Lepisosteus oculatus: one gene and its partner. The protein of the gene in region 1 purifies or fractionates together with the protein of each later gene. This does not show direct contact. Links are inferred from orthologs where the notes say so. Each region holds a gene or a part of one and is shown on either strand. Other genes may lie near its edges.

Region 1 (7,253 bases):
GCCACTTCCAGCTTGATCAATCCTGAGCTTCCTGTCTTGAATTCTTCCCAAAGCAGCTTGGTTATGATTTTTTTTTTAAACCCAACACGAAATTACTGTTAAAATACTTACTTATTTTCAAAGACAATGGTAAGTGAGTCATCATGGACATCTTTGACAAATCCCTAAAACATAAGTAAGGAATTCAAGTTACATCTTAATGACATTTTCCAGATTTATCCTAACTGCCTTCAGTTATTGTTAGTCATCCAATGTGCATACCCACGCAATACTATTTTAATGTACAAAATGTAATAGAATGTGTTTACATTTGATGTTTAAAGTTAACTGATATTAATACTTTTTAAACAAACTTTTTAAACGCCTTGGAAAAAGCAGACAAACTCATTATTTAAACTCATTATTTGTCTTAGACCTTAAAACTAAAACTGACCCAGTTAAATGTATAATTAGTTCAATAACCTTACCAAAATCCCCCATAGTAGACTCTAAGGAACAGAATTAAAGACCACTGCTGTACACTACTGAAGTAAATGACAGTTTAGATCCAGTTCCTTGACAGTTTTTCCAATTATGTCAACCTTCTAAACCAATGTGTTTATAGATGGTTCTCTAAGGCAGCACAAAAAGCATTATAAAAATGTGTTTAAACATATTTCATTACAACACTGGAGAAAGGAGCCTGTACAGATGTTATGTAAATGTCTAAATAGAATACATGAAGAAACAAATGTCTGAAATCACATATCTACTGTTGACAACAGTTTATCATTTTCTTCAATAGAAGAAACATATTTTACATGAAACAAGAATCACATCATTTAATGAGATACTTAAGAGATGCTTTTGCTTTGTGTTAGAGAAGGATTTGCATACCCACACAAGTACAAAGGGCAAAGTGGTGCTGGTTAACAGCATGACTGCTAAAGGACAAATTCCAGAGACTAACACCACTAAACTCTTCTCATTAATTCTCTCCAAAAACTATTTTTTTCTTTTCCATCTGTCATAGCTTTTTTATTTTACTTATGTAAGCACTACATGATATTACATTATATAATTATATTATACATTACATTATATTTTATAATAATCTGATTGTGAAAATGTTCTACTTTGAAACTACATAAACTGCTGTTTTTTTCACTATATTCAGATATTGTTTAAGTCATACTGTAATAAGTCATTACTTTACCTACAGAAAGTTAAAAAAAGAAAACATAACAGAAATATTTGCGTTTAGTAAAAAGCATCTGTCTTTTGCATAACTAGCTATGTGTAAGCCCATGTTTTAAATATAGCTCAGAGTTCCAAGTTATCCTTTGAACCTGACAACAGCTCAAGATTGACAGTGAACAGCTGTCAGACCACATATTGCTCTGGGATTGAGTGACATTCTAGGAATAACTTCAGCATGATACAATAACTACTTAATACTATTAACAGATGTATTTTCCTACCATGGACTGAACAAGTTAGTTCAACAGACAGTAACAGCTGTCAATACCTAAACATCTAGTAATCACACATCTTAGTGCTTATGTACAACAAAATTAAAAAGGAAAAGGAAATTAAGAAATGTAAAAGGCACAAAGTATTACATTTAGAGTATAAGCCTGATTTTTTTAAGGAGTCGACAGTACAATAATCTACTTGTTACATATAAGATACAAAAGTGATGCAAGTCAAACGCAACAGTGAAATGACATGCAGAAGAAGCAAACAGAGAGCTCACAATCAAAGACACCGCTAAACTAAACACTGCATTTTCATATGAACACAGGAGATAGTTTTCAAGTCACATAAAGACAAACTCTTCAGTGAATTTAACTGCATGCAGTGCCACATATTTTATAAACCAGGCCTCCAATCTTAAATAATTGCTTACACTTATATAGCGCTTTTCTGGACACTCCACTCAAACTGCTTTACAGGTAATGGGGATCCCCTCCACCACCCCCAGTGTGCAGTAAATGACATTCCCTTCAACTTCCATTCTTACGACAAGGGAGATTCCTTTGTATTAGAATCAGAACGGGTTCTTCTGCTTCAAGTGCTTATCATAATCAGTTCCCCTAACAACAGTTAGACCCAACCTAAACACATATCAGTCGTTAGACCTGTCACGCTTTATTTCAGAAATACGAAAAGGCCCTTATTAAAAAGATTCGGCACATCTAAGAGCTGGATTATAAAAACAAAAATATAGTTACGTTATTGACAGCTACTGTTTAGTAGACTTTGGCATATTAACAAGACTAATGGAACAAAGGAATGGAAATGTCCTTTTCCCATCATCGTGCAAATGAAGGGAATGAGATACACGGACGCTTCAGGTGCGTCTCTCAACACATTTGAATCTTCCTGCACTTTTATAAAACTTCTCTTAAACTCACCAGACCTCCAGGCTGAGCAAGTCAACGGATTCAGTACTTACAAATCCCACAGTGACTGCTGATCGTGTTCCACTCATTTTGTATAAAATATTAAAAACTATGCCCACCATTAAAACATCAAAGATCTTGTCAACATGAATAACGTAACAATATAACGAACAATATTAATCCTTATTAAATAACACCTGAGATAGGCCTGTATTAACAAGGGAAAGAATATATCAGTCCAAAAAAGTTCAAATATTTAAGTTTACAAATATATATCTCCAGACTGAATACATAATATGGGTTATCAAACTCTAGAATATAAAAATGCATATATACGTGAGTATGTAAATAAATCATAATGTAACTGACAAAAGATCAGACATTTTTGTGTCCTCGTCAAAGGCACTTTCTTACAGATTTATTTAGCAAGAACAATCCCGTGAAAACAACCTGTACATTTCCGTACACAAAGCTTTCTTCTCCTTTTTAGATAATTTATTTTATCGGAATGATTTGAATGTTTTTACCTTGTAATAAGCTCCGTTGGAGCCACGGACTTCTACCGTCAGTTCCTCCATATTGGCCACGCAATGTACTCTGGGAAAGCATTCTAGAAACTTACACCGTCACAGAGCACCGTGCGTCTGCAGAGTGGAGTGTACATACGGAGCACATCACTGCACAACATGTATACACACAGTACATAACTGCACAGAGCACATCATTGCACAGCATGTACACACACAGTACATCACTGCAATCATGTATACACACAGTACATCACTGCACAGAGCACACCACTGCAAGCACGTATACACACAGTACATCACTGCAATCATGTATACACACAGTACATCACTGCACAGAGCACACCACTGCAAGCACGTATACACACAGTACATCACTGCACAGAGTACACCACTGCACAGCATGCACACACACAGTACATCACTGCACAGAGCACATCATTGCACAGCATGTACACACACAGTACATCACTGCACAGAGTACACCACTGCAAGCATGTATACACACAGTACATTACTGCACAGAATGTAAACACACAGTACATCACTGCAGAGAGTACAACGCTGCTCAACATGTATACACACAGTACATCACTGCACAGAGCACACCACTGCAAGCACGTATACACACAGTACATCACTGCAATCATGTATACACACAGTACATCACTGCAAAGAGTACACCACTGCACAGCATGCACACACACAGTACATCACTGCACAGAGTACACCACTATTACTATATACTATTATAGACTATTTACATCTATATTGGGTGAACCACATAGGAATCACAGTCCTTTTTATACAGTACATAAGCCCCGCCATTTTAGGGGACCAAAAGTAATTGGACAATTAGCTGCTCAGTTGTTTCTTGGCCAGCCGTGTGTCATTGCAATGTTAGTTCATGCACAAGAGAGCTGAAAAAGGGTCTAGAGTTAATTCTAGATGTGGCATTTGCATCTGGAGTCTGTTGCTCCAGATGCAAAAGAGGACCAAAGAAGTGTCAATGCCAGTGAAGTTGACCATCATGTGGCTGAAAAATCAGAATAAATCAATCGGAGACATAGCCCAGACATTAGGTGTGTCAAACTCATCTAGTACATTAAGAAGCAAGAACGCACTGGTGAGCTTAGCAAATGACCTGGTAGACCACAGAAGACCACAGTAGTGGATGGCTGAAGAAGACTTTCAATTGTAAAGAAAAAACCCTTTTCGACCATTGAACAGATCAGGAACACCCTCCAGGATGTAGGCATGGATGTGTCAAAGACTATACCATAAAGAGAAAAATACACCAGCATAACCTCAGAGGGTTCACAAGATGCAATCCACTGTAAGCTTCAAGAACAGAAAGGCCAGGTTACAGTTTGCTAAAATGCAAATAATAAAGTCAGTAGAGTTCTGGGACACAGTCTTACACAGTCTAGACGAAGATTAACCTGTACCAGAGTGAAGGAAATAAGTGTGGAGAAAAAAAGGATCTGCTCATACCACCTCATCTGTGAAACATGAAGGTAGTGTCATGGGTTGGGCATGTACCGTATGGCTGCCAGTGGACCTGGCTCACTTGTCTTTATTGATGATGTGACTGCAGACAGCAGCAGCAGGATGAATTCTGAAGTGTACAGAGGGATCTTATTTGCTCAGATCCAACCAAATGCCTCAAACCTCATTGGACGGCATTTCACCTTGCAGCAGGACAATGACTCCAAACATCCTGCTAAAGCAACTATGGAGTTTTTCAGGGCCAAAAAGTGGAATGTTCTCGACTGGCCAAGTCAATCACCTGACCTGAATCCCATTGAGCCTGCATTTCACTTATTGAAGACGTGACTGAAGGCAAAAAACAAGCAGAAACTGAAAATGGCTGCATTACAGGCTTGGCAGAGCATCACCAGGGAAGAAACCATGTGTCTGCTGATGTCTGTGGCTTGCAGACTTCAGGCAGTCATCGATTGCAAAGGATTTGGAACGAAGTACTAAACATGACAATTTTAAGATTATGTTAATGTGTCCAATTACTTTTGGTCCCCTAAAATGGGGGGAGTATGTATAAAAAGGACTGTGATTCCTATGTGGTTCACCCAATATAGACTTAAATACCCTCAAATTAAAGCTGACATTCTGCACTTTAACAAAATCCAATGTACTGGAGTACAGAGCCAAAACAACAAAAAACGTTTCACTATCCAGATATTTACGGACTGCACTGTACTGTATATACACAGTACATCACTGCACAGTATATAAACACACAGTACATTACTAAACAGCATGTATACAGATAGTAAAACACTGCACACTTTATAACACTACACAGCATGCTTTATACACACAGAACAACACTGTATAGAGTACATCACTGCTTAGTGTATATATAGACACAGTACATTACTGCACAGTACGTAAACACACACTACAACACTTGTGTACCTTTTCGCACTGTGTAATGAAAATGGCTGCACATCACTGCACAGTATATCTACACAGTACAACAATATGCAATGTACAGTATATTCACAGTAAAAAACTGCACAGCATACCTCACTGTTCAATGTGTATGCACAAAGTAAAACACTTCTCAGAGTAAATCTCCGCACAGTGCATATACATACAGTACAACAATGCACAATGCAGTCTTCACAAAGAAATATACCCACAATACTGTACAGTACTGCACGATGTACTGTACATACAGAGTACATCCATGTACAGTACAATAAATACTTATTATAACACTGAACAAGTACTATATACACCACACAGCACAGTACTACGCAGTATGTACTGTATACTCACCGTACAGCTTACGGTACACTTTAGCATAGTACAAACTGAATACTACAGGACTACACAGTATAGCACTGCACTGTTCTGTGTATATAATACCTGTATAAATAATTACAAACCTGAAGAATGCTCCACAGCCGGAAAGTTCTGTTTCTTTTCTTTCCATTCAGCGTGGAATAAACCTTTACCCGTTCCTGTACATGCGATATGATGATTTTTCTTTTTACATCATTTTAGGAGATTAGTTTTTCAAAGACGTTGCGATTGATAAATGGAACACCGGGGAACTTATTATATGTCCTAATTTTATTGTAAATATGATCGAATAAAACAAGTTTAATGGAATATACATTATTATTTTTTATTCAGGTGCTTTCACGTTCTTTAACGATTATTATTGCGCCGACAAACACAAAAGCGAATGGAAGTGCTGCCACCTGTCGTGCATGGTAAATATTACAGCGGAATTCAGCTAACGTGATTAAATGGTCAAATTATTCCAACACCGGTCTGTGAATGCTTTATGATCTTAGAAAACCCGTGTCAAAATTAGTTTATATAGGATACAAAAAAAAATAAAAAAGATTTTACTATTATTAATTATGTTTACATTAACTAAAAAATAATAACCTCTAAGTGATTACTGGACTGCAGGTAAATATAAAATATAAAAACCATATCTGAGAGCAGTGAAAAGCAAATTTAGTTAAATGCATCTTGTGTTTAGATTATGGATTTCAGACTTATTAAGTATTATTGCCATAGCAATATCTTAAAATTCAAACACTGTTGTCAATTTTAATAGTAAAATGATGTACTTTCTTTTTTTCCTTGATTTATTGGAATAAAGTCAGTACTTTACAACCAGTGAGTGTGAAGACTTTGTTAATGCAGCATCTTATGCCTATTAATGGTAAATCTGCTTCTCTCAAATTCCATTGTGCTTTAGGAGTCAGGGACAGCCTAATGGGTCCTCTTTCTACTGAAGACGCTGTGCAACTGAGGAAGGTGCATATTTTGTTACTTCAGTTTCTTCTAATAACTTAAAAGTTTTTAAAGCACAGCAGAGGTGTCATTCACAGTTCCTCACTAAATAGTACACCATGGAATACATTACTGTTAAATATAAGATAATTTAAAAACTCATTAGTGAGTATTGTAACTTATAGCATCTTAATGCCTCTGAGCATAAACATACTTTAAACAAACAAATAGTGAAGTGCTATAAAACCAGAGAATAGTCTTAACAGTGGCAATTGTAAGTGTGACACATCACTTAATAAAGTCTTCTACATACTTTCATATGCCCCTACTAATATGGTAGCACTTGCACTCTGTGGTCTTTTCTCAAGATGTTAACACTGCTAACTATCTGTTTGGTTCAGTGGCTTCTTGCAGGCCTGGCTGTTTTCTATCTTTCAACCCCAGTCAGCTTTGAGGCTATCTGAACTGAAACGTGAGCCAGGTCTGCCCCTGCCCTTAGTAATGCACCAACAATAATACCTTTTAAATCTGGGCTCTTATATCAGCTTGCTTAGTGGAGCACACC
Region 2 (7,720 bases), about 9.9 Mb from region 1:
TAATTTGGGCTCCATAAAAAAATGCTTAAAGGTTTTTTCCTTGTGACTTCATCTTACACTGTTTAACAAAAATGTTGCTATGGATTATGGAACATAAGCTAATTTAATTGCTGTACTGCATCAAGTTCATACTGCCATTGTTGAACTATTTTGTGTTTGGTGGTTTGCTAACACATTTGAAAGCGCTGTCTTAATAAAAACCTTAATATACATTCTAAGCATTCATTGACATTGGAATCGTCTTTTGTATTTCTGATATAACCACCTCATTCCTTCAGGTCTTTATGAATGCTGCCCTTTAGTATTTTAACTTTCTGCTCTGACACACCTATAAGGAGGTACAAACAATATTGTACCTGGACCTTGCTTTCTCTTTTTTTAAATGGATATGATGTGCTGTTATCTTCTGTCATTTTATTCTAGACATTAAGAGATCTTAGTTAAATTCATTGGAGATAACAGGCCAGTGTAAACCCACTATGACAGAGGAGGCCGATCACAGTCCTGCAAGGCCAGTGGATGTACAGGCTTTCGTTCCAGCTTGGCTCTCATCCTGAACAATAAACTCCTCCACTTCCGGAAACTGAGGCAAAACCTTGTTTACAAATTCACCGACTGCCACAACTTCGAAATTCTCTTTCTTTTGGCCAGTGCGGCCCTCACCTTAAATCATTTTTCAGCTCCACCACGACGTCCTTCCCCACAAGGGACTTAAAAAACGAGTAGAATAACTGCAGAGGGAAAGAAAAGGATTGTGAAACCCCCTGCCAGCAATCCTGGCCAAATCACATGAGAATCTACACGGGGTCACTACAAAAAAAGGCAGACTTGGAATTGTGTCTGTAAGAACATCAGTAATACTTTTGAAACATGCCTGGGATAGCACATTAATATCGTGTGATTCTTGCTGTAAACAACACAATTCCAGAATTTCCTTCAGTAAAGGTACCAAAAAGACTACGGGAAAGCAAGAGACGGTCTGGAATAAGTCTGATTTGCAGATACTGCACCGATCAAGCTCGAAATTGAATAACAAGAAGCTGGGCGTTTAAGATGCCTTTCGGGGCAACCTGTTCGGCTCAGCATCTTTCCCTAGAGCACTAAACTAGGCCTTGCCTATCCCAAACCCATGTCCTCAGCGTCTACACTTTTCGTTAGAGATGGGCTCTCCGGCGCTTTACTTAATGAATCATACCTACCGTGTACGGGCGCTAAAAGTTCGCAAATTTTAAGTTACTAATAACAGTTAAGCTAGTAATAGTAACAGTTCAACTGGAATATTCAACAGAGCGAAAAACGTGATCATAGTTTAAATAGCTCAAGTTATTAAAAAAAAAAGCGGAATCGGAATCACCAAGAAACATCCGCGACACACAGACCCTTCGAAACACGTAACGAGCATCTACTTAAAACAAAGCTTTCCTGCGGATTAGACGCACATCCAGCTGCAAAGAGAGGTGAATGCAAACCGTACGGCTGTTCAAAAAACAAGATTTAGCTTTATTACAATGCTCTTTCAAATTTGAATTGGTTGCCAATGGATTAAAGAAATTAATTCTGGTATTTTTTAAAGATATTTTGACGAAACGTTTGAGTAATTTTAATCTCGTCACGGTGCCGGTAGTCAAAACCATTTTCAGAAATTAATTTCTGATAGTGAAAAGAAATGTACACAGAAAGCATTAAAAACTGTTCTCAAAATTGAACAGAAAAGGGATCTCACCATTTTCACTCACACTCGACCCCCACTGCGCCTTTACTCTCCGTTTACATCCCAACGAGAACGGGATTAGAAGTCCTACTCACCCATTGGAGCAACTTCTTTGACGTCATAAAAATGAGCCGAAATGATATTCACCAATCAGCTTTGTCCGCTGGGCGACACGTGGTATAACCATAGAGTTTATGGAAGAAAGAGTAATATTTTATTATCACATGCAGATTGCATCGCCATATTGGTAGAGAGGATACAGGAATTGTGTATTTTCGAAGGGACCTACACACGAAGAATTATATCAGGAAGCTTTCAACAAAAGGCTTTAACTATTATGTCAAAAAGTTACCAAAATAAGTTCTTAGTTATTTTAGGTGTAGTTAATTTTGTTACTGTTATCTGTATCAGTAACTGCAGTGGTTTGTTAACCATTAATAGTCTCTGTAATTAAAGACATGCATAACATTTGAAAATTGAAAACATAAATCACGTTTGCTTTATTGTTTATAAAATATCGCTTCTATTTAGCTTAAAATCAAATCAATACATTTAAGGTAACGAAGATGTATTTAGTATATGTACTAGAACAAAAATGTATTTTTTTCTGTGCATTTTTAACCATAAAAATATTTTTTATTTTCCCACAAATATAAAATATAAAATACACAGTAAAACCTACAACTGTGTTGGTGTTTGTGCTGTGTTCTGTAATGATTTAGACCCTTTTGGAATACGAAGGGAATATTGTTATAGGTTGAGATTTTCTGCTGCTCTGCCCTCTATTGATGAAAATATATACGTATCGGTGTTTCTTAGTTAAAATGAAAAAAATCAGTTTGGTCATTCCAGTTCTAGTTCTAGTTAGAATACCTGTTGCTGATATTATTTCTGGCGATTTTGTTATTCTGAGAAGTGTTTTCACTTAATTTCACTTATTCTTTATTTAACGTTATTGGCTTTACGTCATTATTATCGGTGCTACTTTTTTGGAATATGAGAGTCACTCATTTAATTAAGGTCGGAAAACCATTCAAAACACAGTAAACAAAATGGGGCTCGTCCGGGATTCGAACCCGGGACCTCTCGCACCCAAAGCGAGAATCATACCCCTAGACCAACGAGCCCGCTAGCGCATATGTTTCTAGAAAGCCACATATAAAATAAAATACGTTAGGTGTAAATTAATGGGGCCCAAATGATTGCACAAGATTAAAACACCATGCATGGTACCATAATAATCCACATTTCATTCATATTAAAACAACAATTAGATTGAGTTATACTGCATAATTGCAGTGGAAGTCTCTATAATTTATGGCACTAAAACGTTTGCAGGTAAATCGAGAGTCACCAATAAAAAAGTGAGCCGCAAAGCGTTTAGCAGCCGAAAGGACGGAAACAAAACATCAATCGCTGCATCAAAAGCCTACATCAGCGCTTTGCTTTTTATCTGAAGACATTATAACGTCTTGAACGTATGAATTATGACTTATACCACCATGAGTATTCTAAATTAATTATGACTGAGAAATAATCTTTGCTCTAAATGACTGTGTATTACGTGTCGGCATATCGGAGCTTTTACGTTACCATAATGGCTAGGCTGTTTGCCTTAAAAAAAAAAACAAGCATAACAGAGCAGAAAAGAAGAGAAGGCTGTGAGGCTTGTTTTCCAGGCGGGATCGCCACTGTGCAACCAGATACGATCTAATGCATGATATAGCAGCTATTAAACTCCTTAATGATAGCAGCAGCTAATAAACTCTTGTATCCTTGTTTTTACAGAAGTCACTAGAGTTTGAAATAACCCATTTTGCCCAAACTGCCAGGGTTCTTGAAAAACCGTCCAGACGAGACTCCGGGATCAATCGACTGCTTGCAGACGCAGCTGGGCCTGGCCAGTACTGAGGTGGGATAACTGCGATCTGTGGTGTTCCGTGAACCAGTGGGCTGGGGTGGTGGCACCCTCTTCCCTCCGGACCACAAGATCCACATCCACGTCCCAGTATGATGAAAGGGGACACGGTACACTATCCGGTGGCATGCTTAGGATGAAAATAAACAAGTGAAGGTTTATTCCGTGCTGAAAAGAAAAGAAACACAACCTTTCGGCTGTGGGGCCTTCTTCAGGTGTGCGTGGATGCTTAGGATGAGACAATACACGTCTTAATGTCTTTTTATTGCACATCCCATGCCTCTGTTCGTAAGACAGTGTCCTGTCTGAATTTAAATATCGAACTCGTACGGTCTTTCCTGCACAGGTAGGATGATGCCTTCTATTTGCACAGGAGCTTCAACAATGGATACTGACATGGGTCCCCTCCTACATTTAAAGTGCTATATACCCACAAGGGATGGTTTTTATTTAAACCCGATGCCTACTTTTCATGTTTTCAAAAGTTGGGCTCGTCCGGGATTTGAACCCGGGACCTCTCGCACCCGAAGCGAGAATCATACCCCTAGACCAACGAGCCACACGATGTCCTTCCTCCACTGCATGTATATTTTTATTTTCTTACGGCTACACTGCACTGATTTTTTTTTTAATCCAATGTAGCCAAAGAATAACATGTTAGGTGTACCAATGCAGACTTATCTAACTGACTGATGAACATTTTAAAACACACTTTTTGATTCTTATGAGTAGCGAAACTACTCGCATACATATGAATTCACACAAGTCCAGTTTATGAATTTAATTCGACATCAGTAAGTATTCGCGTTTATTAGTAGTAGTTGCATAAAACTGGGGCTCGTCCGGGATTTGAACCCGGGACCTCTCGCACCCTAAGCGAGAATCATACCCCTAGACCAACGAGCCTGTACAAACGGCGTTACGTTGCATCCATAAATACTAAACGTACCCTTGTCTAGAATCGCAGGAAACGTATTCGTGGTGAGTTTTTCCAATTTTCGTTTGAGTTATTTTATCCTTCCGGGGCCCGGCAAAAGAGCCCCACTCAAGAGCTTATTGTCTGCTACAGAGGACAGAAATCAGCGGGCGCGACGCTTCCGAGACCCACCATGTTTTCCCATGATGCCTTCTTCGTACAGAGCTGTAAACATTTGAACTCGCCAGAGCTGTTCGGGACTGCGTGTAGCCGGATGGCAAGTTTGAGAGCTAATGGAGAAAGACGATAACGTTTTATTCTGAAGGCATTTTTTTTTAATGAGCACGACACCTTTTGTGAGCTGAGCTTGCGATATCGTAAGGGAGACTGGCGAAAAGAGAGAAGAAGCGGCCCCCTGTATTTTTTTAACCATGGAAACAGCTGGACGCAGTTAAGGTTTGCAGTGTGGGAAGGATGTATTTAAGCATTGGGTTTCCGTCCGTATCGATACCTTTAAATTAATCTCTTTCGTTTTCCTGCGTTTTCTTCCAGACTCTGGTTGTATTTTTGACCTCTCTAAGCGGCAACCAGGTAAGTTTGCTTCTTGGAGAAACATAAGATGTTTTTCATCACCGAGTCTTCTCCAAATCAAATCTTTTCTTCCTGCCCGGCTTTTGCATTTAGAAGAGATATTGTCCTTGCTATTCATCTTCGTACCCCCATTAGACATCCGCTTTAACTTATAAGGGAGTATGTTGCAGTCGGTGTACGTTGGATGGCGTTGTTTTATTTTTTATTTACTTTTTGAATGAATAATACAGTGTTACATTCTTAAGATCATCATGTTTTTATGTGACAGATGCCCTACTGGCATTAATGTGAAATGGAGGCCTTTTGGGGGACGCTACAGGATGAAACTGCAAGGTAGGGGGACTTCACAGTTAGGCTTATCATGTTTCCCTTAGAACTGTTTTTCTCACGCTTAGTGGATGTGGATTTGGAGTTTGTGTTTTGCTCCGCCACTTAACTCCCACCAAAGGCATGTTACGCACACCTGCTTCAGCAGCAGATGGGACAGCTTATGTTTCCACCATTGCTCCCTAGACAAAGAGGGAGTTCAGGCAGAAACCACACGGGCAGGTGCGTGGAGAGGCTGGAATCAGCGTTCTCTCTCCTCCCCAGCGCCATCCTGTCGTCGTGTGAACCGGAGCTCCAGGAGCTGATGCGTCAGATCGACATCATGGTGGCCCACAAGAGGAGCGAGTGGGAGAGCCAGCACCGGGCCCTGCAGGGGCGGCTGCAGGTTCGAGAGGAGGAGCTCCGTTCTGCCAGGGACGCTCTTGAGCACAAGCACAAGGAGGTACTGCCGCAGCTAGTACTTTTGTCAGAAGTGTTTCGCGACAAGCTTCGTATTGGCGTAGTGGACCGGGGGTAGGTAAAGACAAGCTTGGCAATTTTTAGATTTTGCATGGTTGTAGGAAGATACATTTTCAGCTATATAAATGTAAGATTTCATAATCCCCGTTGGGAAATTTCGTCATGGTGAAGACGTGTCAATCCTGTCAGCTTGCCTTACGGGAATACTACTTCATTAGACGAATGGACCTGATTTGCACCTGTGTTCTTGAAGAAAAGTATAGGAGAGTGGAAAAGAGATTGGTGGTCATATCTGTGTTATTTTCGGGGGGGGATGATAAGTTGGTATGGAGAAGTGACAGTCTTTGCTAAAGAGAGAGAGCTTTCACGGTGTGTTTTGTAGATCATTATGACTGACGACGAAATACTCTTTTAAATATTTTTTTATCAAAGAAAATTACATTCTGCTTTCACTCTTGGTCAGTGTTCAGAATCAAGGAAGTCTTTGTTAGATCTTCAGGACAAAACCTTTCAAGTGAACTTTGTAGAGGACATGCTGAAGGCGAGCTGGCATGGAGGTTGTGTTGGAAGGCTTTGCATGCTTGTCATCTGAACGGACTTGGTATGAAAATATCCTATGAAATGAGTGGCAAAAACCTTTTCTCGTTCATATTAAAGCAAAATCGGATTGTTATTTGCCCAGCTATCAGCCAGCCAGAATCAATTACTGGTATTCACGTGAAACTGAGATTCAGCAGATGTTTACGTAAAATCCATGAATTGTATGTAAATGTCTCTGCCAGTATGTGCCTCCTCCTTACATGGCCAGAATGCTTTCCCAGTGCTCCTTACAGCATTAGTATCCCACAGTGAGGTGGAGAATGGGCAATGGAGTCCTCAGAGCGCACCTAGTTACTCTTGTCCATTCCTTCTTAGGTGGGAATGTTCCGACAGCAGCTGCTAGAGGCGCAGAATGAGAAGCAGGAGCTGGTCTCCAAGTACGAGGAGCAGCTGCAGCGAGTTCGAGAAGAGGTGTGTCCCCGCAGGTTTTCTCCGGACATCTGTCGTGAACACTCTGAGGCAGAGCAGAACAGAGGAAAGAAAAGCAAGTAAAAGTTTTACGGTTTGCTGTAGGATACCAGCACAAAGGTTAATTGAATCACTGTGAAGTGCTGCACGTGGCACTCAGTCAGTTACTCGGATACTTGGCAAATGTAAGGGAAGGAACGAACTTGCGCTGGAATCTTGTGAAGCTGTGGATTAGTGTGGTTGAACAGGCGCGTGTCTGAACCTCGCTGCAGTTGTCCAAGCTCAAGCGGAGCTACGAGAAGCTGCAACGCCGGCAGCTGAAGGAGGCCAGAGAAGGAGCCAGGAGCCGAGAAGAAGACAGGACGGAACTGAGCAGATTAAACGGCAAGATAGAGGTGATGTGAAGCTTTGACTCATCTCCACACCACCTTCTGAATTGAGATGGCAATACTGGATCAGTAAATGGATTTGACAGTATTTGGAGTTCTTCAGTTTTACAGTATTAGGGGGCTAATAGTACAACTCACGCTCTTATTTTGTGTCACTGAATGATCTTCCACTTTCCTGTCCTGGGATGAGCAGTGGTACGCTTTGCCACACATCATTGGAAGTTTATACATCTGAACCTAAAAAATAAGTCGATTCCAGAACAAGTTTTTTTTAGTAAAGCAAATGAACTTTCTGTCATATCATTTCCAAAATGTGTGTATTGCACTTAGACGTCTCAGAAGATAGAGTTCAGAATTTTGCCCGTCTGCACTGTGGCCTTTCCTGACTGCCTTTTGTGCTT

Evidence for each region. Proteins that work in one complex are often made in the same cells at the same time.
Region 2: the proteins of fxr1 (region 1) and cep63 purify together in Homo sapiens (co-immunoprecipitation; 3 studies listed by BioGRID and IntAct, with this or other methods). This does not show direct contact. The link is inferred for Lepisosteus oculatus from reciprocal best matches to the Homo sapiens genes FXR1 and CEP63.

The regions. Positions count from the first base shown.
Region 1 is NC_090708.1:169,666-176,918, reverse strand, and holds the start of fxr1 (RNA-binding protein FXR1), read right to left. Parts: upstream 3,021-7,253; 5' UTR 2,963-3,020; coding exon 2,912-2,962; intron 165-2,911; coding exon 112-164; intron 1-111. UniProt on the Homo sapiens protein: mRNA-binding protein that acts as a regulator of mRNAs translation and/or stability, and which is required for various processes, such as neurogenesis, muscle development and spermatogenesis.
Region 2 is NC_090708.1:10,044,945-10,052,664, forward strand, and holds the start of cep63 (centrosomal protein of 63 kDa), read left to right. Parts: upstream 1-4,714; 5' UTR 4,715-5,001; intron 5,002-5,097; 5' UTR 5,098-5,136; intron 5,137-5,404; 5' UTR 5,405-5,428; coding exon 5,429-5,469; intron 5,470-5,649; coding exon 5,650-5,905; intron 5,906-6,837; coding exon 6,838-6,933; intron 6,934-7,202; coding exon 7,203-7,325; intron 7,326-7,720. Other genes in the region: smx5, read right to left, coding at 664-731, 1,724-1,726. UniProt on the Homo sapiens protein: Required for normal spindle assembly.